Linked DNA regions of Nothobranchius furzeri. The protein of the gene in region 4 interacts with the protein of the main gene of each other region in a biochemical or structural test. Links are inferred from orthologs where the notes say so. Each region holds a gene or a part of one and is shown on either strand. Other genes may lie near its edges.

The links.
Region 1: the proteins of kpnb1 (region 4) and kpna4 form a complex in vitro, tested with the Homo sapiens proteins (2 studies listed by BioGRID and IntAct, with this or other methods). The link is inferred for Nothobranchius furzeri from reciprocal best matches to the Homo sapiens genes KPNB1 and KPNA4.
Region 2: the proteins of kpnb1 (region 4) and nup62l form a complex in vitro, tested with the Homo sapiens proteins (2 studies listed by BioGRID). The link is inferred for Nothobranchius furzeri from reciprocal best matches to the Homo sapiens genes KPNB1 and NUP62.
Region 3: the proteins of kpnb1 (region 4) and kpna3 form a complex in vitro, tested with the Homo sapiens proteins (2 studies listed by BioGRID and IntAct, with this or other methods). The link is inferred for Nothobranchius furzeri from reciprocal best matches to the Homo sapiens genes KPNB1 and KPNA3.

The regions. Positions count from the first base shown.
Region 1 is NC_091753.1:52,638,134-52,643,856, forward strand, and holds the start of kpna4 (importin subunit alpha-3), read right to left. Parts: upstream 3,910-5,723; 5' UTR 3,770-3,909; coding exon 3,701-3,769; intron 168-3,700; coding exon 123-167; intron 40-122; coding exon 1-39. UniProt on the Homo sapiens protein: Functions in nuclear protein import as an adapter protein for nuclear receptor KPNB1. Binds specifically and directly to substrates containing either a simple or bipartite NLS motif.
Region 2 is NC_091754.1:20,875,512-20,880,929, forward strand, and holds nup62l (nucleoporin 62 like), read right to left. Parts: upstream 3,691-5,418; 5' UTR 3,500-3,690; coding exon 2,057-3,499; intron 1,977-2,056; coding exon 1,818-1,976; 3' UTR 1,639-1,817; downstream 1-1,638. Other genes in the region: pdk1 (pyruvate dehydrogenase (acetyl-transferring) kinase isozyme 1, mitochondrial), read left to right, coding at 4,489-4,597. UniProt on the Homo sapiens protein: Essential component of the nuclear pore complex. The N-terminal is probably involved in nucleocytoplasmic transport.
Region 3 is NC_091754.1:26,747,134-26,752,888, forward strand, and holds the start of kpna3 (importin subunit alpha-4), read right to left. Parts: upstream 3,391-5,755; 5' UTR 3,259-3,390; coding exon 3,190-3,258; intron 746-3,189; coding exon 701-745; intron 1-700. UniProt on the Homo sapiens protein: Functions in nuclear protein import as an adapter protein for nuclear receptor KPNB1. Binds specifically and directly to substrates containing either a simple or bipartite NLS motif.
Region 4 is NC_091745.1:29,752,456-29,758,328, forward strand, and holds the start of kpnb1 (importin subunit beta-1), read right to left. Parts: upstream 3,768-5,873; 5' UTR 3,557-3,767; coding exon 3,517-3,556; intron 2,810-3,516; coding exon 2,751-2,809; intron 1-2,750.

The DNA.
Region 1 (5,723 bases), on a different chromosome or scaffold from region 4:
CACGTTTCTCCTCTTCAGAAGGTGTTCATCCCTCTTGTTCTGTGGTGCACAGAAATCACCGTGCACATATTAAAATCGTATGCAGATAAAACGCCTACAAAAATCTCAACAAGATTATATACCTTTCTGAGTTCCACCACTACTTCAGTCCTCTGTCTTCTCATGGTCTGCAGGAACACGACATAAAACGTGTTAAAACATGAATTTAAGCTAAAGCAACATTTTATATGCGTGTAAACATCATTTTCCCATTCAGAGGTCACCAATTGACCAACTCAAATCCTCATCCAGTTTCTTAACCGAACCGACCAATAATTTATAAATTTTAAAGGGTAAATATTTACCTTCAGTGGGGAAAATAATATTCCAAAACAGTAATGATCAAGTCACCTAAAAGCTTAATCATCTGAAAATGAGTCAAAAGTTGCTGTGACTGAAGATTTTGACATTTATTCACTAAATTAACTAAAAGGTGTACAAAGTCTTCAATTCGCAGATTTAGCTTTATTAATTGTTTTCGGTTTAGCTGTGTGTTCGTAAAGCGCGACACAATCACGAGGCACGATTAGTGCTGCCACGATTAGTCGATTCATCACGACGACGCTGACAAACAAGATAGTCAACTAGAAATTTAATAGTCGACATCATTTATTGTATGAGCATTTATTAAATCACGCTTTCTGTGGCACCTTCAGTGGCTGCTTTCTGCTCGAGGCACAAGCGCAGTCGTGGCCGTCCAGATCAGCCTTTGAATCAAGAATAACCGGCGAAAGATGACATCATGGCGAGTCCACAGCATAGCTCAGAAGGTGCAGAGCGTTTTACAACGACAAATAAACGAGAAGCATGCACAGTGCAAAATCTGCAAAGTGAAACTCTACATTCATGGGCGCACATCTGCGATGGACGAGCACGTCATGGCAGAGCGCAAAGAGTCGCCTCTGTAAGCTAATAACCTCTTGTTAGCTGCTAACATCAACAGAGAGTTACTTGTATGTATTTACTTGTAGGTGTAGCAACAACAGTAGTGGTGGTGACTTTACCTTTAGTACACGTTTGTATGCCACATTTTCCCTCTAATGTTACAAACGCTAATGATTTATTTTATCCTGCTACGTTAGTTATATAAAAGCACTCCTCCTCTTCAATGCACGAGTCTGGTACAAACCCAAAAATGACTTTTAGCTGGATACATTTGTGAGCACAAGTCATTTTTGTGTACACTTTATTTCTGGTTTAAGGTTACTACGTCCATTCGACTACAGCATTTGTATTAACAGGTTACAAAGTAGATTAAAGGTTGTTTGATAAGCTAAGCTATCATATTGTCTATAATATTAGAAGCTTGATAAAAAAGATCTTAAATTGGTCCAAAAATACATTTTGGATCCAACTTAAAACTGAAACAGAGAAAATTTGTATTAAACACTTTTAAGAATCACCACAATGTTTCCATGCTAATTATAAAAATGTGCTAATTTAAAATAAATTATTACATGCAGCATTGTACCAAACTTGGACCGCTATGATGTAGCTTCTCCACACAAATGTGGAGTAGGAAGTGGGATACAATCCACATTTTCTTGTTTTCTTGTCTAATGACAAACAATCACCTATGCCATTAAATATGACAGGTTGAATTGGGGATGGACCAAAAAAAATGGAGCTGTAATTTACCTTTCACTATACTAAAGCTGATTTGAAGTCAAGCACATCAGTGGGCAGCCCGATTCCACTACACAATTTTATGTTTACCCTCCTTAAAGAGCAAGTCACCCCCTACCAGATTCTTACTCAACTCCCACTTCCTGTTTGAAAAATGCAACAAATGCTGTTGCCTAGCAGACCGAGAGGGTTGAGCCGCTAACAAATACACACACTCACGGCATTGTGACATTATAATGTACCATCTAACATCATAGTGTACCTCTTAGCCAATAGCGACGGCAGATTTAAATTCAAATGCAGTGCTGAGTTTTTACCTGACGACGGTGCAACACTGACAGTTTTAGGCAGAATATTTAAATTTTAACTAAGATGCACTAAAGTGCCGAATTATTGACTACACGTGTCTGCAGCACGATTAGGCACTCATTTATATAGTTTATCAGGAGAAAAAAATGTTGATTTGGAGTGACTTGCTCTTTAATAGCATCTGATTAATAAATTCTCGAAAACATTGTCAACTGACATTTATTCTTATTTACCTGGTTTGCATATTTAATACTTAGTCAGGTTTTTGTTTTCTTTTTGATAAACGTTGGTTAAAAGATTGATTTTAATACCACGCAGAGCGTAAAATTATGATTCATGATGTCAAATTCTGTGTCAACTGATTAGGTTCATGAATGTTGTGCATCCCGTTATTAGTGACATTTTAGCAAAGAGTTATGGTGGAAAAAGTCTAGATATCGGCCATTGGCTGACCATGACCCCTACCAGTGGGCATTGGTATCTGCAATAGAAAAAACCCATATCAGTCGATCTGTAGCTTGAATTAACTTGAATGGTGTCAGATGTTATCGTGCAGAGTTGATGATGATTGCATCAAGACTATTTTATTTCAGGATCTCGAAGATTCAGTGGTTTATGTTGCCTAAATGCCACTTTTTAATCTTCCTGGTTATTTGCAAACGAATCTAAACACTTGATGCAATGTGAGTGAGCAACGTATTTAGTCACGTGATCAAACGATTAAATACACGTTATTTCAGTATGGTAATGAAATAAGTCTGAAGTTTCTGCTCACTGAGGAGTCTGGGTGTGTCCACCTCCTCCGAACCTCTTCCATACTTGTAGCTAAAGTTATTGACAAATCGATGAGCGATACGACTCTTGAGGCCTGCTTCTTCAGAGAAAGTAACGACTTGTCAAGCAGGATGTACGGGCACATCCCGCCTATAAACACCCGTAAGGTAAAATCCCGCCCGAGACCTTATTTCGCTACCATACGCTCACATGAGACAATGAGACACGCCGGGCTGACAGTAACTCACCTAGTATTGATCTGACGTTTGCTAACGTGTAGCTTGATCTACCATGTCACGAGGTCGACCAGGTGTTTATAGATTTCTAAATATTCGTTGGTGATAAACAAAACAATGGAACACACACGCATGACGTTAAGATCCAGGTAACTGGTCAGCTAAACGGCTAACTGGTTTCCGCCATTGTTTTTGGTTGTAGAGACGGGGGATGGGTGGAAATGCAACCAGCGCGAGCTCAGCTAGCACGCAAGTTAGCTTACTGCGGTATTAAACTACATTAATCCGCCGCTAGGCTGGCGTGTTTATCGATATTATATCTCAAAAGGAGACAACCTGGGTCAATTAGGTGTACTTTTACTGATATATGTGACATATTACACCGAACTAAACCGACTCGGGGGTGAAATGCTTCAGTTGAGCTCGCATGTCCCCCCGCGGCCCTGGCACATCCAGCGGAGGCTTTTCTGACATGTTTCTTAAGCAATGCGGTCTAACGGTGTAACAAAACGATAGAAACCGAACAAGAAGCCACTCTGCCAAAAGCCAACGGTGCTTAACGGTCGATTCGTGAAGGCCTTGGCCGGGCTCTGGCAGCAGAGATCCCGATGGTGGAAATTAGAAACGACGTCACAGCGCAGCCGAGAGGCAAGGCTGGCCGTGAACGCAGCAGCTAGCAGCGGCGAGCCTAAACACCTTATCCGCACAACTTTTACCTCCAAATCTCGACCCTTGTTCTTGAAATTCTTCAGCCGCTGGTTGTCCAGTTTCTCGTTGTCAGCCATGTTTGCTGTTCTGGTCACGTTAAATACACAGTTCGACTCGTGAATTTAGCGGGCGAGCTACCCTCTTTTTTTCTTGTTCCCGTTTCACGGCGTTTCGTTAGCGGACTACTTTTCGCTGCTCTGTCCGCGGTGCATACTGGGAATGCCGGTGGTGGAGGGGGGGGCGCCTCGCTGTGTCGTAGAGGAAGGGTGGGGAAATCCCCTCCACTCCGCTCTCATTGGTTTCACTGCCAACGTCCGTGGCGGTGGGAGCACCGCATCACATGTAGGCAAAACGCATGAAGTTTACTGGAAGAAAAAGGTCACATCTGGTCAATTATCACTGCACCATAATATAGATTTGTTATGGAAACAAAATACTTTAGTGTTTTACACTAGCGGAGTAATATAGCAGGTTTGACTTTACAGAAGGTGTTATTTGTCTTCCATGCAAATGAAAAACGTCATAAGACAGAGAACCCTCCCTCTCCTTATTTTACCCTTTGTGTTGCTCAAATTCAACAATAACATGATGTGATCAATAATAAAAAGACAAAATAACAAACAGGAAATGCGGAAAAATGTTTAATTAAGTTTTATTAAACAATTATGAGTGAAATTTCCTCTGTATATAAATGATATCTGTCAATATATAAGAGTGCAATGGTATTTAGAAATTTGATTTACTTCAGAATTCATTTGCATTTAAAGATGTGGGGCACACGCTTCATCAATACATTTGCTGTGGCTTCATTCTAGTAATTAATTAGTGAATGAAAGTCGTACTTGGTTATTAAAAAGCACAGACCCAGTTTCAGGAAGTAAAACATTTCCTGATATTTGGACATCTCGCCTCTGATTGGCTAACAGCAACACGACTCTACCACCAACTTCATTTGCTTTGCAACCATGATGTTTTTTTCCACATATAACACAAGCGTGGAGGTGCTCTGCTGTGTGGTGGAGTTGCTAATGCTAATGTTAGCTTCTGCTAGTCGGGACGTTCTCTGCTGTTTCCTGGACGTTAAACCAACAACAGCCTTCCCCATTGTGAGCCAAGATGGGTGAGTCCATGACTGTTAAGTGACAGTGTGACGTAGATCTGTCAGGCTTTTCTAATCCCACAGTTAGACCGTCTGTTTTCTATCAGAAGCTAATGCATCATTATCATTTTTGCAGGTTTAAAAAAATCACAAACACACTGAATATGATCAAATACATGAACTTCCTTTATTGTAAGATGACATTTGCTCAAAATAAACTTGATTTTCAAATAATATAAAACACAAGAAAATGATTTATAGTGATAAAATATATCTAAACCTTATTTGCTAATTTATTCATATACATTTGTAGTTTCAGAGAACTGTCTCAAGGCCCCTCATGACGGCTTTCTCAAATCCACCCCAATAATCCCAGATTTTTCACAAACCCCTCACAGTTTTTTTCCTCCCGCCTCTTCACCCCGCAGCAGTTTCACCACACGGATTAACTCTAATCTCTGCGTTAGCATCATCCTTTGACCTCGCAGTTGGTTTCAGTTGGATGAAAGACGACAGGAATCAAACATCAAAAGTAATCGTCCTGTAATCAGCTGCCACAGAATCGCTTCACTGCTGCGAAACCGAAGCCTTTAGATCTCATCTGAACCTTAATGTCGTCCTGAGTCTGTCTGAAAGGGGTCTTCATCAGATAAACCGTCCTCATGAAACCTTCTTCCAGTCCCGTCCCAGTGTTGGCTGAGGAGGGCTGGACGAACCACGCCCGGCCCGCCACACCCACCCCTCAAGTCCAGTTTCACAGACAGTGATTGGGGGCTCAGAGCATCTGGTAGAGCCTGTTTGTTGGCCAGAACCACAAGAGGAACTCCTCTGAGACTGTCCTGCCTCAGGACCTGAGAGGTAGAGGAGATCCGTTTTTGTTACAGTTAAAAACTTTTCACATGAAACCTTCATTGTATAACAAAACAGTTTCT
Region 2 (5,418 bases), on a different chromosome or scaffold from region 4:
GCTTTATATAATGCTGTTCTGTGTGTGTGTGTGTGTGTGTGTGTGTGTGTGTGTGTGTGTGTGTGTGTGTGTGTGTGTGTGTGTGTGTGTGTGTGTGTGTGTGTGTGTGTGTGTGTGTGTGTGTGTGTGTGTGTGTGTGTGTGTGTGTGTGTGTTTGACTACAAAAAGCACTGCACTAAGAAATTGTATTGTGCACATATTTAATTTGTTTGAATGTTTGTTTTTCATATGTACAGTACATGTAATCTTCAAATAAAGTCACAAACTATAACAATCAACTAGAATTATTTTTTTACTCAAGTCTCATGTTGCGGTGAAGCATTCAGAATTGTTATCTGAGTACCATAAAGACATGCCAGTTTTACTTTCACAAGTAAACCATTACTGCATTCGCTGTAATAGATTACTTGTTCATTGCCTTTTATTATGAATTTATTTGAATCTTATTTTAATAAAATACAGCTGTAAAAGATCATAGATGAAAACAGTAAAGGAAAATTTTTGATAAATTTGATCCCCAAAATATAGTAAAGATAGAAATTAAAAAGAAGAGAACAAAAAAGTGAGTAGTTTCACAGTACTAGGAATTTCCTTTGGTAAAATTGTGCACAAGCACAAAATTAGTCATATGGCAGAGACAAAAAAGAATTTTGATATTGCCCTAATTTTTCCCTTTTTTTTCTTGCGCCCCCATGAAAAAATACTGGCCCCACTGTGGCCCCCCTGGAAAACTTGGTCTAGAACCGCCCCTGATATTGTATGACGAAAGACAATTTTTAATTCCATTGAAACAGTTTAGTGATGAAGTCTTTGTACAGAAACTGTCTGATTTTAATGCATTTCAAACTCTTCAGATGCTTTTGTTTGTTCTGATGCTAAAAAATAAAAAAAGCATAACAAGTGTAAATTCCCTGCAAGACTTAACATTTTTTATTGTTTACAGAGCACGGATAACTGTTTTCATGTTTCCCCATTCGTGGATTCTGCAGACATTACCAGCCTATGATGGAACAATCAATCTCGATGCTTTGGGTGGGAAGCAGCGGATGACAATGAAGCTCTTATTTTTAGCAGATTCTGCAAATTAGGACAAACTGTAGTCCATTTTTATATTTGTGACATGGCTGTTTAATTTCCTGGGAATTTTTTACTGTAGAAATGGTGAATTGTATTTTTTAACATTGTATTAGAATGAAAATCTCAAAGTGTTTTGCAACATACCTGTGAGGTTGGCCAACATGTTCTACTACCTTATCTGGAGCTGTTAAGAAAACCAATGCTTCTGCTTGTCAGTGCGCCCCAGGGCAGCTGTGGCTACATCGTAGCTCATCACCATCAGTGTGTGAATGGATGAATGATACACTGTAGTGTAAAGTGCTTTGGAGTCCTTACTCTGAGAGGTGCTATACAAGTGCGGGTCATTTATCATTTCTTGCACCCGCCTCCTTGTGTTTTTACATCTAATCTAGGGCTCAGGTAGAATTAAGCAGCTTGTAGATCATTACTGAGACAAATTACAGTTAAAGCTCTAAAATGATTAAGTAATTTAGATTATTTCAACTCAAAAAGTCTGGTAGATCTTTCATGTTTCAGATTAGATGTGAGAATTAGAGTCATGACACACCACATCAGGCTGAATGAGATCCACTGCAATTGTTTTATTTAATCACACTACCCAGAACATTTAATATGATCAATTAACTTTATAAAGAACTATTGAGAAAATATTTATCTTAATAAAACCAAAACAGAAAGTGAAATGAGTAAATCCAAACAAAAGAGCATAATGTTTATGCAGAGTTAAACTCATCAACAGATCAGTCAAAGGTTAAACGAAAGCTCTTCTCCTGCTCCTTGCGTTGGGTGTCGCAGAGTTTAGACACTTCTTCCACTCTTCTCTGCAGGAGAACCGAGTTCTGGTCGATCCACTGCAGCGAATCCATGTGGGCGTTGAGAATTTTACAAATCTGCTGGAGCTAAAACAGAGAGAAAGAGATGAATGAAAAAGGCAAACATCATAATGACAGGTTTAAGGATGACTTAGATCTGATCTTACTGGGTCACTGGAGTCAGCTGGGCCGCTGGATGTGTTCAGGTGCTCAATTATCTCCTTCAGGTCCTGAGACATCCTCTTCAGCTGTGCGTCTACGTTCTCAGCGAGCTTGTATGTTCTCTCACGCTCCTCATCGGCATTCTGCATGTAGATGGTTCCGCTCTGCTCCTTCACGGACTCCTCCAGCGGACACAGCAGGTCCTCCAGCTCCTTCTGCTGGGACAGGATGAAGTCCAGCTCCTGGTTCAGCCTCCTCTGGTCCAGCTTCACCTTCTCCAGCTCCTTGTGCAGGGATGTGATCTTCTCTCCGTTCTCCACCAGCATGCGGTCCCAGGCATTCACCTGAGTCGCTTGCTGTAAGAAATGTCTTTCTTGGTCCTCCAGCTCAAGACTCCACTTGTTTATGAGGCTCTCCAGCTGGGCATAGGTCATCACAGGAGGAGCAGTGGTGGTGGTGGTGCCGATTGTTGTGGCTGTTGTGGTTGTGCTTGTGGTGGATGTAGTTTTGAGTCCCAGTATGAAGCCCGTAGCTGTGCCTGTGGTGGCGGCTGCAGTTAGGATGGAGGCCGGAGCAGAGGTGGTGGTTGCTGAACTCAGAGGTTTGAGTGGGAAGGATAAGCCCCCTCCAGCTGCTGTGGTGGTTGCAGTGCTCACCGATGAAAGTGGAGCCGAAATTGGAGCTGCACCAAACATGAATCCTGGAGCTGCTGCTGTAGTGGCGGCGGTGGTGGTTATGGGTGTCGCAAACAGAGTAGGGCCTGGAGTCGGAGCCACCTGGGTGGTTGCTGTAGGGGCTGGGGTTGATGAAGGTTTAATCCCAAAGTTAAAACCTCCACCCTGGGTGGTTGGAGCTGCAGAGGCGGTGGTTGCAGGGGTTCCAAAGCTGAATCCCGCTCCTGTGGCAGCAGTGGGGGCTGCAGCTGAGGTCACCTGGACTTTGGGAGCACCAAAACTGAACCCTCCAATGGACATGCCACTTGCTGCTGTCGTGGCTGTGGGTGCTACCACTGACTGAGGCTGGACTTGTGTGGGAGCACCGAAGGTGAATCCTCCCCCGCTTGGTGCCACTGTTGCTACTGCTGGTGCAGCAGCTGGGGGCTGCGAGGTTAGCAGGCTGCCTAAGGTGAACCCTGACCCGGCAGCCGGAGTTGCTGCAGAGCCCAGACTCAACCCTGTTGCTGCCGGTGTTGTCTGAGGGGTAGCAAGAGCAAACGAGGCAGTAGGCGTGCTAAAAGACAACCCCGTGCCGCCTGCGGAACTCTTGGCTGGGGTGCCAAAGCTGAAAGAGGCGGTGGGGTTGGTCTGGTTGGCATTTCCAAAGGCGAACCCCCCTCCCGGAGCTGCTGAGCTGGTTAATGTAAAACCCGCGTTGGGGGCAGCGGCAGTGGTCTTCTGCGCTCCAAAGGCGAACCCTGCATTCTGTCCGAAGTTGAATCCGCCACTCATTATCCTCACAAGAAGTTAAACACAGCCGTTACGTGTCGTTTAAAACGGCCACTTCCTTGCCGAATCTTGTGGCTTTTGGCGGGTCGCTATGACCAACTCCTCCGACTGAAGTTCCTAAAATCCCCACTGCGTCTATTTAAGTAACTTTGCACAGATACGCAGGAAATGAATGAAATCACACGCTAATCAACGTTACCTTCCGAGGAATATAGAGCCAAAATCAATAACACATTGCTAAAAACGTGGGCCTGTGAACCGACATTTCCTTTAACAGGCAATTATCTGGCCACCTAAAGGAAGTGACGACACCCGAGACGCGGCATTCTCGTATGCCCTGAATTTTGTCTGCAGGGACATAATTCCGCCTATTAATTTATTTGGCAACTGTTTTATCCAATCAGAGTTATGATTAGATTTGAGGTACATGATAGGCTCATTTGACTGCCTGATAGACAAACATTCGGAAAAATATATAGTTTGGCCTTTACAAAGAGTATGCAAAGGCAAGATAGTTACAGAATAACGAGCACTATCAACTCTTCTTCTTTCATACACACGTGAATAAAAGACATTATTTAGGACATTATCGTGCATTTATACGTCTTTATTTTCGCAATTTACCGTCAATATTGACAATAATTTTAAATACAGCCTTTCAACAGAACTTCGTGTCGGTATACGCCAGGCAACAACGATGAATCCTCTTGAACTTTGTAGTAACTCTTTGAATTAGCTTGTTGACTTTTCTGCTTCGGTGGATTTAGCAGCGATCACTTGAAGTACACACCGGACGATACACAAACATTGCAGCGCGGCCGTAGTTATGGATGCTGAACCTGCATCAATTAGCAACGTAACTGAACAATAATAAATTTAACAGCGTGTTTGCGAGCTGCTGGGTTTGCTCAACGAGCTAGTGTCGTTAAATAACACTAAGTGTGGCTCGGAAGCCACCTGCTTCCTCCGAATAACTAGTAAACCCGGTCAACATGAGGCTTCTGAGGTTTCTGAGGAACAGCGTGTCAGTAGGGAAGGATATCGATTATTACTCCAGATTTTCTCCTTCCCCTCTTTCAATGAAGCAGTTTCTGGATTTTGGTGAGATGTATTCATATAACACTCTAGGGATGTAAAAATAATTCAATGCACTGAAATATCACAACATTTCGGTTTATGATACAGAATCGATATTTAAAAGCAGAGTATCTATTATTGAGAATTTACATGCCAACATTTCTTGTATTTCTTTTGTGTGGTGCAGATCAAACACTGACAGCTAGGTGGCAGCAGTTTCTTCCTCCTTCAGTCTGACAGACCGATATCTTGCGAAAACACTGGAATTGTCTGAGTTTTCCCAGTTAAATTCACTTAAAAATTGCAAAAATAGTCAGCCTTTTAGTATCTCAATATATCGTATCGTCTCTCCTGTATAGCAACATATTATATTGCTAGATACTTGCCAATTAACACCCAGTTTTATCTCAAACTCTTCGGTGTTTCTTGATGTCTTGGTCCTGCCCCGGTTGCCTAGGAGATACGTAATCAGGTACCGCCAAGGCGTGTTCCAATCATCATGTGCTACCGAGGTGTCTGTTCTTCGTTTGTTAGCTGTTTAGCTAGCTAAGCAAGAATACACGGGAGGTGCCTTCTTTACTGGTGGTTCCCAGAATATCTAAAATTAGGATAGGAGGCAGATCTTTTAGTTATCAGGCTCCTCTCCTGTGGAACCAGCTCCCAGCTTTAGTCCGTGAGGCAGACACCTTGTCTACTTTTAAGACTAGGCTTAAAACATTTTTATTTGATAGGGCCTATGGTTAAAATCTGATGTTAGCCTACATCTGGACAAGTGGGGGAGTAGAGGTAGGTGGAGTGTACAGTCGGTAAAGACGGCTCTCCCTTGCCCTGCCTCCAACATGCCT
Region 3 (5,755 bases), on a different chromosome or scaffold from region 4:
ACACATTCATAAGAGTGCATTTAAAATCAATGTTACATTAAAAAGTAAACAAGTGATGTTTATTATGAGCTAACAAAAGAGCCGTTTGAGGGCGTCGCCATGATGGGATCCCCGCTTCTCCGAAAACGGTGACTAGAACGTGGTTTACTTGGGTGTGACGTCATTTCCAGGTCTGAGATCTGACTTCTGAGGTTCTGAGGTCAGCGTCGACCAATATGCCTTTTTAGTAGAACCAATTTAAAGGCACATCCATGTGCAGCAGAATTATTTTTAAATATATATTTAAGTTCCTGAAAAACATCTACTTAATAAAAGCTTTATTACCATTTTAATTATAGATTAAACAGTTGATTACATTCAGGGTTTCAGAAATGTTGTGCAGCCACTGTTATTGGTGACACTTAATCATGCAGATAAGGTGGAAAACATTTAGAACTTAAACTGTGAAAATCGACAGCACTTAGCGGCCATCGGCTGTCCAGGACCTCCAGATATCGGCAACAGAAAAACTCAAATCGGTCAATATCCAATAACTAACGCTATCATCTATTTGACGTTGTTTATATGTTGTCAGAAGTTTAAAACTGATGTGCGTTCTTTGCTGTTCCAGAGTCAGAAACAGATCGGCCTTACGCGGACAGATTATGTGCGTGCATTTGCTTGTGTGTTCCTGAATACTGTCGTGTGAATCTTTTCTCACCTTTCTCAACTCAACTGTCACTTCGTTTCGATGTCTTCTCATAGTCTGAAACGGGAGAAAATACAAAGAATGTGAACAAGATTATATAGTTTCACACTGGCATTTAAGTGTGATGGAAGTCTTACAAAACAACAAGAGATAAAAATGTAACATGTTACAATAAATGACCGTATCTTTGTGTTTGAGGTGAAAATCAACTCATTTTAGTCCAGGTGATGAGAAACTGTTTAATAGTTTTGCTGTATAAGTGCATCTGTTGGGTTTCTCGCTCATCCAGAGCATTTTGAGATGGTCTAAGATCTTGTGACTGTTAAAGAGGTTCATGTTGCCATCCTAAATAGCCTCTTACGTAACTTTGGGCTGTCATAACAGAGAAGCGGCTCCAGACCACTGCAAAACAATGATAATGCCAGGGGTACTGATCCGAACTAAACTGCTTCTTAAATACAGATGTGAATTATCACATGATTTCAGCAATGCTCACATTTCATCTGTCGAGCAAAAGATTTCAAAACTCTAATTAATGGAATACTTTTTCAATATTCAAAACTAAGATACTAAGTCTGGGTGTGGGACCTCATTCAGTTCAATAGGTGTTAAAAATGAAATGCACTCTTTTGCAGCTGACCTAAAACAAATTTGCTGTAGTCTGAGTCACCCACTTTCAAAAACCCAATTTCATGCCGAGGTTCTGAGAAGGACTGGGTCAGACTTCCAAGATGCCTGAAATAGCATCAGGAATGCACTTTGGCAGAGGCTCGATCCCAGTAGCCATGTGCTTGTCGAACACACACTTCCAGTTTCAAAACAACCAATACAGGCACCACTCTGATGGTGAAACTCCCGTCTGGTGAATTTGGAAAGGGCATTCTCAGACATACCTTTGTTTGTGGATTATCTTGGGATTACCGATAAATTAGAACAACACTAAAACAAGTATGTTTTTGTTAGTAATCCCCCCTGTGGCTGAGAGAAATGCCCTAAAAGAAAATTGTTTACATTTCACAGATAATTTGAACAAGTCCAGAGTAGATTAGTCATTTGATTTGAACATTTTTTAACCCAGAAATGATAGATTTGCTATTTTTTGTTTGTTTAAACTTGAAACAAATCCTTTACCAACTGCTTTGGCTACAGTGTCAATGAGCAATTTAGACAAATTCAGTGAAAGATGCAGCATTTTAGATATGCTAGTAGGTACACAAAATAAATCTAGTGTTTTCTAGAATGTGACTTACAATAAAACGGTAAACTACATTTAAATTTTTACAGAAATGCTGAGTTAGGGCATTTGTGATTCGACATAACCTTTTACTACAGGTTATAGTTAACAGAATGGCTAGCTTGTTATCCTTTGCTTTTGTGAGGAAAGTCACCTAATTTAATGGTGACTGAAAATACAAATATTTAAAGAAAAACAGATAGACACAACACTAGCTGCTCGGTTGGCAGGCTCGCGTTTGCATGCTAACGAGGAGGGGTGGCTAGGGTAAACGAGCACCCGTCACCGATCCACCCAAATCACACTTGTCCATATAATATTGATTATATGTGACGTTCTTTGGTTAGCATTTTTGTTTACAGTGGGGTGGCATAAAAAGATTGGAAATATCGCGATTTTGAAGCCGGGTAGGCCCCGCCTCGCTTGAGACCGGTGTCCATCAAACTAGCTAGCTAAAGTTAGCTAGTGTCGTGTCGAAAAAAGTACACCAGTCGCCAAAGAAACCCATCATGGGAAGCGTATTTAAGGACAGCTTGTTAGGATTACTTAAATTATCGTTACATTTAGACCTAAATTTGTAATATTCTTAACGTTCAGAAACGAGATAAGTTGCTTTAGTCACTGGGTAACGTCTATTTATGGCCAAGATTTTTTTAAACGTACATTATAGGGGGAAAAAAACAATGTACATTATGATGCATGATTTCGAAGACTTCCAGGGTAAAAAAAAAACTGCATCCTAGCAGCCTACCTCAACATAACTACTGCGAATACATCATTACAATCTAATTAACTGCATAGCTTTACAGAATAAACGATACTTGACTTATATGTGGAGAAAACGTGGTTAATTTAGTTAAGTAAAACAAACCATGGTTTAATTTATAACGCATTTCCGACTAGTGTGCTTTTAATGGCAGGGGTACCTTTTTCGTTAAAACACCGGCACTGACAGCTACATCGCCTGCCCTAATTCTCATAGTTCTAAAAGCCCAACTATGATCCAGCTTTCAGTCACAGTGGTTGCTGAGGTTTATGACTTATCCACGCTGAAGTCCATCACAGCTGTCGTCTTTAAGAGTTTAATTTTCATGTAATGAAATCTTTGATGGCGACCACCCTGTGGTAGCTTAGCTAACAGGCAGGCTGGGAAGTTTCAGCCGGGGCCAGGCTACCAAGCAAGGCCTGACGGTAGTCGGCTTTTCCCATCTACATTAAAATATTAAGATTAAAGACATTTAAACGCATATCCTCAAAAAGAGCTCACCTCGACATCACGTCCCTTATTTTTAAAGCTCTTGATGCGGTGGTTTTCCAAGCCGGCGTTGTCTGCCATGGCTGTACGGGGTTTGGATTTTACTCCGGCTGTCTGTATCTCCTCCGTGAAAGACGAGGCACGGCAGCTCCTGTGCTGCTGCGGCTGGGCTGGCTCCGGAGAGGAGGAGGAGATCGCAGAGTGGGGGGAGGAGTTACATCGGCTGTCCTGGTTTCCAACACCTGAGATCAAAGCAAGCAGATGAACTGGAAATTGATGCCATGGTGCCTAATAAATCTTTATTACAATAAAAAGTCGTTTGGTAGCTTTTTGGAAAGTGTGCACCCTTCTACGTTCTACATGACAGTGGATACTTCTCTCTTATTAGGAAATCCAAAAGAAAAGGGTTCAGCAATCAGTTTGTTACATTATGCATGAGTAGTGCTGGGCAACAAATCGAAAATGTATCATTATCAAAAATTCTGACTCTTATCGAGATCATTTTTCCCATGTTAAAAATTTGATAGTAAAAAAATGAAAAGATGTGTGTAAGTTGGCAACATTCATGTCCCTTTGAGTCACGTAAAAATTTGACTCAACGTCATACAAGTGAAAGCCCCATCTAGTGGACAACTTTTGTTTCTGTACATACCTGTAATTATCGTCCATTTATCGGTATCGAGGTAAAATCCTCGAAGTATCGTGATATTGATTTTAGGCCACATCGCCCTGGCACTCAGGTTGTGGAAAAGGACAACTGTGATTGGATTGCAGACTTTTAAAATATATTTTACAGCTGCCCTGGTCAAGGAGAGAGAACAGCTGGAAACAACGCTTCCACAAACACACAAAAAAACAATTAATTGTCAGAAATTAGAAAGGCATCAAACACATGGAGGTAATTTTGGCGGGGGGAGTGGGGGGGGGACAGGGAGACATGTCCCCCCTACTTTTTCCAAAGTCAAGTTTTGACCCCTGCACTTTTTACCTTCCAAAAACAATATTACGCTGTATTAAATTGACACTGGTTGAGCTCTAGGACCAAGCGGAAAACAACCATTTGTGTTGAAGCCTGTTTCCCATTAGAGCATACTGTAAAGATTCAATAAAACCCCTAAAATATTGTAATCTTTTTTTTTATTTCATCAATTTGAAAACGAGCTAAATTCCACAAACAGTATAGCTGCTGCCTCTTCCTGCACACAAACTCACCCTTTTTCAAAAGTTAAATTTGAACCCATCGTTTTCCCAATAAATTGGTAAGTTGGCACCTGATCAATGGTTTGTCCTTTTGTTCTGGTTGATGGAGTACTGATGGCTTTTCTGAAATCGTGTCCTTTGTTTTTCAGGTTGCAGATGTGTGTCTTAAAAGACTAAATGGCTGGACCGTGTCTGCTTGCATTTCTGAGCAGACCCACAATTACAGCGTCATCAGCATATTTTATAATCAAGTGGTTTTAAAAGGTGCTCAAAAAACAGCAAAGAACAGACACCAGCTCTCGCTGCTGGTTGCTTTACTCATTACTTTGCAGCAGCTACATGTGTATGTACGTGGGTGAATGTGACAGAGGAGTTAGTGTTGTAGTCGTCGAGATCAGTCTTGAAGCCTTATTTTTATGTTATTGGTGTCATCTTGGTATCGAAGGCATTTTCGCTCTGTCTCGTCTTGGCCTGAGCAGACTGTTTTTTTTACGAGACCGGTATTTTGTCCATGTTTTACTGATGAGAGAATACCAAATTAAAATCAATGGTAGCGTAACAATTTTCTCCAGCTGCCATAGGTGCAGATTTATAGTGGGTGGGTGCAGGGGTGCCTCCAGGAATTTTGGGTCCCATCACCAAAATCCACAAGCAAGTTAGATTTTAAAGTTGTCCGCGACAATATTGATAAACTTGAGTGTTGCTTGATGGGTGGTAGGGATAATTATTAATTATCCATACATGATTATACATCTGCAATATACACTGTAGTGTATTGACAGGTCCCCAGCAACAAACTCTTCATGGGTTTACTGGTAGGGTGTTTTGCTACCATGAAGTTCAGGATTTTAGTTCAGCTGTTCCTAATTAATTAATGTAATTTCATGGCAGAAAAACATATTTTCAAGAACATGACTAAAAATAATAAAAAATATATACTTTTATTACAATATTCTTTTGATATTAACTTTGTAATGGTCTCAACCTCTAAATATCTTAACCTCGTCTCTGATCTTGGTAACGCCGTGTTGGTCTCAGCTAGTTTGGTCTTGACTACAACACTAGTGCCCACCCTGTAACTGGAGGGTTGCAGATTCGAGACTCATCTGTCGCAGTCGTTGTGTCCTTGAGTAGACTTAACCCGCCTTTCCTGCAGTTGGTCGGAGGGCCTGGTGCACCCCAGAGCAACTATGGGTACATTGGTTGTTGTTGAACCCTAGAAGGCGCTAAATAGGGCTGCACAATATATCGTAAATATATCGTTATTGCGATATCAGCATGCACAATATGCATATCGCAAAGAACAGATAAATATTGTAATGAATGGTCAGCTCAAATGTTTGCTACGCATTCTGTCATTCAAACGGACGCATGATGT
Region 4 (5,873 bases):
TCCAGGTCATGCTGTCATCACCCATGTGAGCATTGAAGTCCCCCAGCAGGACAATGGAGTCCCCTGATGGAGCACTATCTAGCACTCGTCCCAGGGACTCCAAAAAGGGTGGGTACTCTGAACTGATGTTTGGTCCATAAGCACAAACAACAGTCAGGACCCGTTCCCCGACCCGAAGACAGGGAAGCTACCCTCTCGTCCCCCAGGGTAAACCCCAACACACTGGCAGAGAGTCTTGGGGCAAACAAAAAGCCAACCCCAGCCCTCCGCCTCTCACCCGGAGCAACTCCAGCAAAGGAGAGTGCCCAACCCCTCTCAAGGACTTGGGTTCCAGAGCCAATGCTATGTGTTGAGGTGAGTCCGACTATATCTAGCCGGTACCGCTCAACCTCTGCCACAAGCTCCTGCTCCTTCCCAACCAGTGAGGTGACGTTCCATGTCCCATAAACCAGTTTCCTTGTCCGGGAATCGGACTGCCAAGGCTCCCGCCTCGGTCTGCCACCCAGTCCACACTGCACCGGACCCTTCATGTTCCTCCTGCGGGTGGTGGGTCCACAGTTGGATGAGCCCATGTATCCGGTTCAGGCCGGGCCCCATGGGCAAAAGCCCGCCCACCAGGTGCTCGCCCACGAGCCCCAACCCCAAGCCTGGCTCCAGGGTGGGACCCTGGTAACCCCCGGGGCCGGGTACTCCAACTCTTTGATTGTACATCCATGAAAGATCCTCTGAACCGTTCTTTCACCCTTCACCTAAGACCAATTTGTCATGGGAGACCCTACCAGGGGCACAAAGTGCCCAAGACAACCTAGCTCCTAGGATCATTAGGGCACTCAAACTCCTCCACCACGATAAGGTGACGGTTCAAGGAGGAGGTTCCTTCTGCTCCGCGTAGACCTGAACTGGTCACCTGCAGCTTGTGTGTAATCAAATGTCTCTAGGGAGCTTGCTGAAGAGGTTATGAGCTTCTAGACTTTTGCCTCAGACAGACTCATGGCTGTTTAAATAATGTTCTGGATGGATCCGTGCTCTGCTGACACACTCAAAGCAAGTGCTGAATAAGGGTGAGCGCTACTTCAGCCAGAGTTTTAAATCAGGAAACATTCTCCAAATGAAATAACCAGAAGTCTTCCAGAGTCTGAAAGACAGAAGGGTTTCCACTTTACACTCAACGCCGCGCTGTAGTGCACGATGTCGAGTGCATCACAGACGCTCTCCAAACCCCTCCTCAGCGTGGTGCTTGCGCGTGCAACGTCAGCAACCAGAGGCGGAGGGGGTGAGAAAAGGCTCAGATGCACTGATGGAGACCTGTTCTTAATTGTTACCTCTGCGATGTTCTCCGTGCATAGCGTATAAAATATTCGTCAATAACAAATATACAAATCGCCTCCTGTAAAAAACAACTTTATACATAAAGTGAGGTCCAACTGAAAAGCAGAAACAAAGGCAGCAATAAAGTCACAGCTCTGAGCTTCTTTGAACAAAAGGCTCCTGGTTGTCATGTAAACTTTCATCCTCTCCATCTATAAACACCTAACAAACTTCACCGAACAAACTGTTTTCACTACATCATTTCACCTTCAGGATTGTTTCTATAGATCATCCTACCTCAAGTCAAGTCAGAGACCTTGAAACACTGTTAATCCAGTGTTTCCTAAATAATTCAAATACTAACCCCTAAACCTCTGGCTGAGATACCATCCACGTTAAAACAGAAACTTCAAAAGCAAGACAATGCAAATAACAATGATGCCATTCACTTCTTTTCATCCCCTCTGTTTAATTTGACTTCTTTTATTTTACCTCATTCGTTCCTGAGCCCTTTGGGAACCAGTGTGGACAGTAAGCCCTAAAGATGTGACACAGCAAAACAACGCTCAAGTTTCTAAAGTAAAAAACATGTTTTATTGACACATATGGAAAGGCTGAAATCAGATCTCAAATAAAAAAAGGAAAACTGCTAAAAACGTTGTTTGTGCCAGCGGTGCGAAGTGAGTGTGAATCCAAGGTAGTCGTCAATGTCCTGCCTTCTGCAACAAGGGCTCATGAGGCTTTCAAAACTGATCCTAAAAGCTACTCTTATAATTTATTTTACTGACGGGATGTTAAAGCAGCAGAAGGACAAGCTCAGTCTCTCCCCCACCTGATGGTGCTTAGTGAATGCACTGCAGTGAGTTGTTACCACCAGCTTTTTAAAAATGCAGGGAAACACATAAATACAAGTAAATGTTCAGAAATATTGGGTCTGCTGCAGCAAAGCCTACAAACACCAACAGAGAAATTGTTCTGTATTTATTTCCTCAAGTGCTGAAATTTACTGTAAAACGTTCACAGCAACGGGACTCTTGGCAGAAAATAATTCATCTTTCCAAGTCAGTTACCATCACTAATCCTGCATGATTACTGAACAATTTGGATCTGGAGTAAGGTCAAGAACCTGATTTCAGCAAGAACCCAGTTAGAAATTAAAATCTTTAAAAAGGGACCTTAAACTGACACATAGAAAAATAACTCAGCTGTAGTCAGCTGGTTAACGAGGTGAATGTACTTCCGTTTATCTTGGGTTTAGTTGATTTGGAGGGTGGCGCTTACAGGCCGAGTGTGTTCGTCCCTGTGTGTGTGTGTTTATTTTGTGTTGGGAAAAGAAGGGAGGAGAAGCCAGCGACTCTGCAGCTGTCCGAAGCCCCTCTCCTCTGGCCTGCAGCAGCAGCCCTGCCGGCCTCTGCCTCCTCCGTTAGGGGTCTACTACTAACCAGGTTCTCTATCGCCGCCTGCTCCAGAAACTTCTGCGCCGCCTCCAGTTCATTCCGATCTGAGAAGAGAAAGAAGTGTTACTCCAGTAGGCGGGCACACAATGAGCCCTGACCCGGTTTAATGTCCGATCCACTCCAAACATCGTTAATAGCTACCTAAATGAGTGACATTGATTCCACGCAGTCACATTTGCACGCTGCTAACCGCCCTGCCGAGGCTGGCACATGCGCGTTAGCAGCTAACATTAGCCCCACTGTGGAACACGTTTCTGGAACACCAAGTGGCGCTAACTGCCTGAAAACAGTAATAACTGTAGATAAAGACACTAATCGAAGACCACAACCAAACGACCACTTCTATTAGTTGCTAATCTGAACCGTAAAGGAAATGGTCGAGACTTAGAATGACACCCACTAACAAGCTAATGGAGCGGCTCCACCAGACCTGGGCAGGGTCGGTCTTCGGTTCAGCTTCCTGTAGCGACCCTATCAGCCGCCACGGGGCCCAATTTTAACGACTTGTTAAGACAAAACGTATGGAAACGGTCAGAGTAGGCATGATGACTACTTTTACCCTAAACTGCAATAAAACTACCGGCAGAGTGCGAAGTCACTGTCCGTGTCAGGCCCGAGCGTTAGCTCGGTTAGCTTCTTCCTCCGCCCTGCCGTAAACTTTTCTCACGCTTCTCATTGCAACTCAACACAACTACTCTGAAAATTCACCATCACACCCTGGCTGAGGTGCGCATACACCCCCAGTACTCACCTGGAGAGACTGTCTTTTCCAGAATAGTGATGAGCTCCATTCCGTGTCCCGGCTGCCGCTTGCTTCACTCGAACAGGTTCGGCGCCCTCAGCGGGTTGGATTGCCTCCACGGAGCTCAGTGAGTACGAGCTACAGGGCGGGTTCGGTGTATGCTAGAAGATGTGGATATTCCCCTGGTGCTCGCTCAATGGTTTCTCACGGATGGAGCGGGAAATGTTAACGGCAGTGTCGCGCGCAGGAAGGTCTCAGAGTTTCACCGCATCGCGAGGGAAAGGACCGCGCGCTTCTCTACGCGGAGGGATATCACGCTCTGACGCACGCGTCAGTGATGCAGTCTTCTACCTCTCAGATTTTGAATGCGGATTGATGTTATACTGCCAGCTTCTGGTTGGGAGTGGGAAAGTGCGGTGCCCGTCTGGTGACAATTTTCATGTTTGTCCCATCACGTATGTACTATATATTATCAAGTTTGTACCATATACTTTTCACGTTTATAGAATTTATTATCAAGTTTTTACAATACAGATATTAGAAAGAATGTGACATTTATATTCAGAGGTGGAAAGAGTACTAAAATTTCCTACTTAAGTATGAGTACCAGTACTTTGATCATTTTTTACTCAAGTACAAGTAAAAGTACTTGCCTGAATTTTTACTCAAGTAAAAGTAAAAAGAATCGTAAATAAAATGTTCTCAAAGTAAAAGTTACTTAGTTACATTTTTGTCAGCGTAAGGATGGTTACATCAGTGCAAAACCACAACACCAGTTCACAACACACTCGTGTCACGCACACACGCGGACACACACACAGTTTGATGGAAGGATTTCTATCCAGTCAGTGAGAACAGGACGTGCACATTGATTGGACGAGGTTTTTCTAGGATTGTACGTTTCAATTGTGATTAAAATTATTCTTTATTTTGAAAAAAAAAAAGTTTATTTCTACATGCCATCAGCATGTGAGGTATCTCAATGTTCTCATGACAAAACTCTAACATGAGACTGTGCTCTAACCTGTCACATAACAAGCTAAATGAAAGTCAAACATTTCAGATGGACCGTATGACAGCTGCTAACGTTGGCCCTGCCCTACTTTACCTCTACATTACAGTTCCTTTATCCATGTCCATCCTAGAGCTCCTCTCTGACTTTCATGCTTATTTAGAGCAGCAGATTTTTAAAGTTAGCAGAGTTCATCCTTGGTAGTGGGTTCAATCACTCATTTAAAGATATCGGCCAGAGGCAAAATTCGTTTGAAGAGCATGTGTAAATGTGTATTAAAACCTCAGATGAAAAAGGTTTTTGGATTTTGACGACTGGAATTGTAAGAAAATCTGATGTTTGTGACCGGCGCGGGAAAAACAGAAACTAACTTCTGGTCTAAGCCCTGGGCAGCTGGTGACGTTATATTGTACAAAAATAGAAACATCGTATGAACAATATGTTTTTATTGTTAGGATGTAAAACATGTAGCATTAAAAGTCTAGAGTACTGGCAGTTCACCTGGAGGTAGAGCGGGTTGTCCCGGAAATGGAAGGTTGCAGGTTCAATCTCAGCCAGAGAATGCTGCTGTTGTGTCCTTGTGCAAGACCCACCTTGCCTGCTGGTGGTGATCCGAGGGACTGGTGGCGCCAGAGCTTTGCAGCCTCACCTCTGTTGGTGTGCCTCAGAGCAGCTGTGGTTCTGCGTACATTTTAGGGCACCCTCAGGTCTCAGGTGTCAGACTTCAGACCATAGGGAAAAAAAGCATCAGGTTTCAGAAAAAAATCTTCAGGGGAGAGTTGCTACATTTAAAATGATGGTCTTACCCAGAATAAATTACTTATTCTCGATGATCCCAAACAAACCTCCAGCTGTCTGGTTTAAATCTCTGGACTCCTCAATTACTAAATTCCTTTGGCAGGATAAACCTCCACGAATTAGCTTAAAAACGCTTCAGAAGACCAAAGACAGAGGAGGACTGGATTTACCCAACTTTTATTATTATTTCTTAGCCAACAGGCTGCAATATATACCAAGATGGTTGCAAGATAACCCACTAGATGAGTCCTGGTTAGATATAGAACATACACTTTGCAATACGAAAGAGCTTTCAGACTTACCATTTATTAGCTCAAGCATAAGAAAACATGAAAACTTCAAAAGTATTAATATCAGCACTTCTCTGACGGCATGGTGGGAGTATCTTAAAATGACAGAGTCTTCACTAGTACCATGCAGACGCACACCTATCTGGAATAATCCTGATATTTTGCAAAACAACAAAATGATGAACCTTCCGGACTGGAAAAATAAAGGAATCCTATACCTGGAACACATATATGAAGGATTGGACTTCATTCCATTTAATCAAATA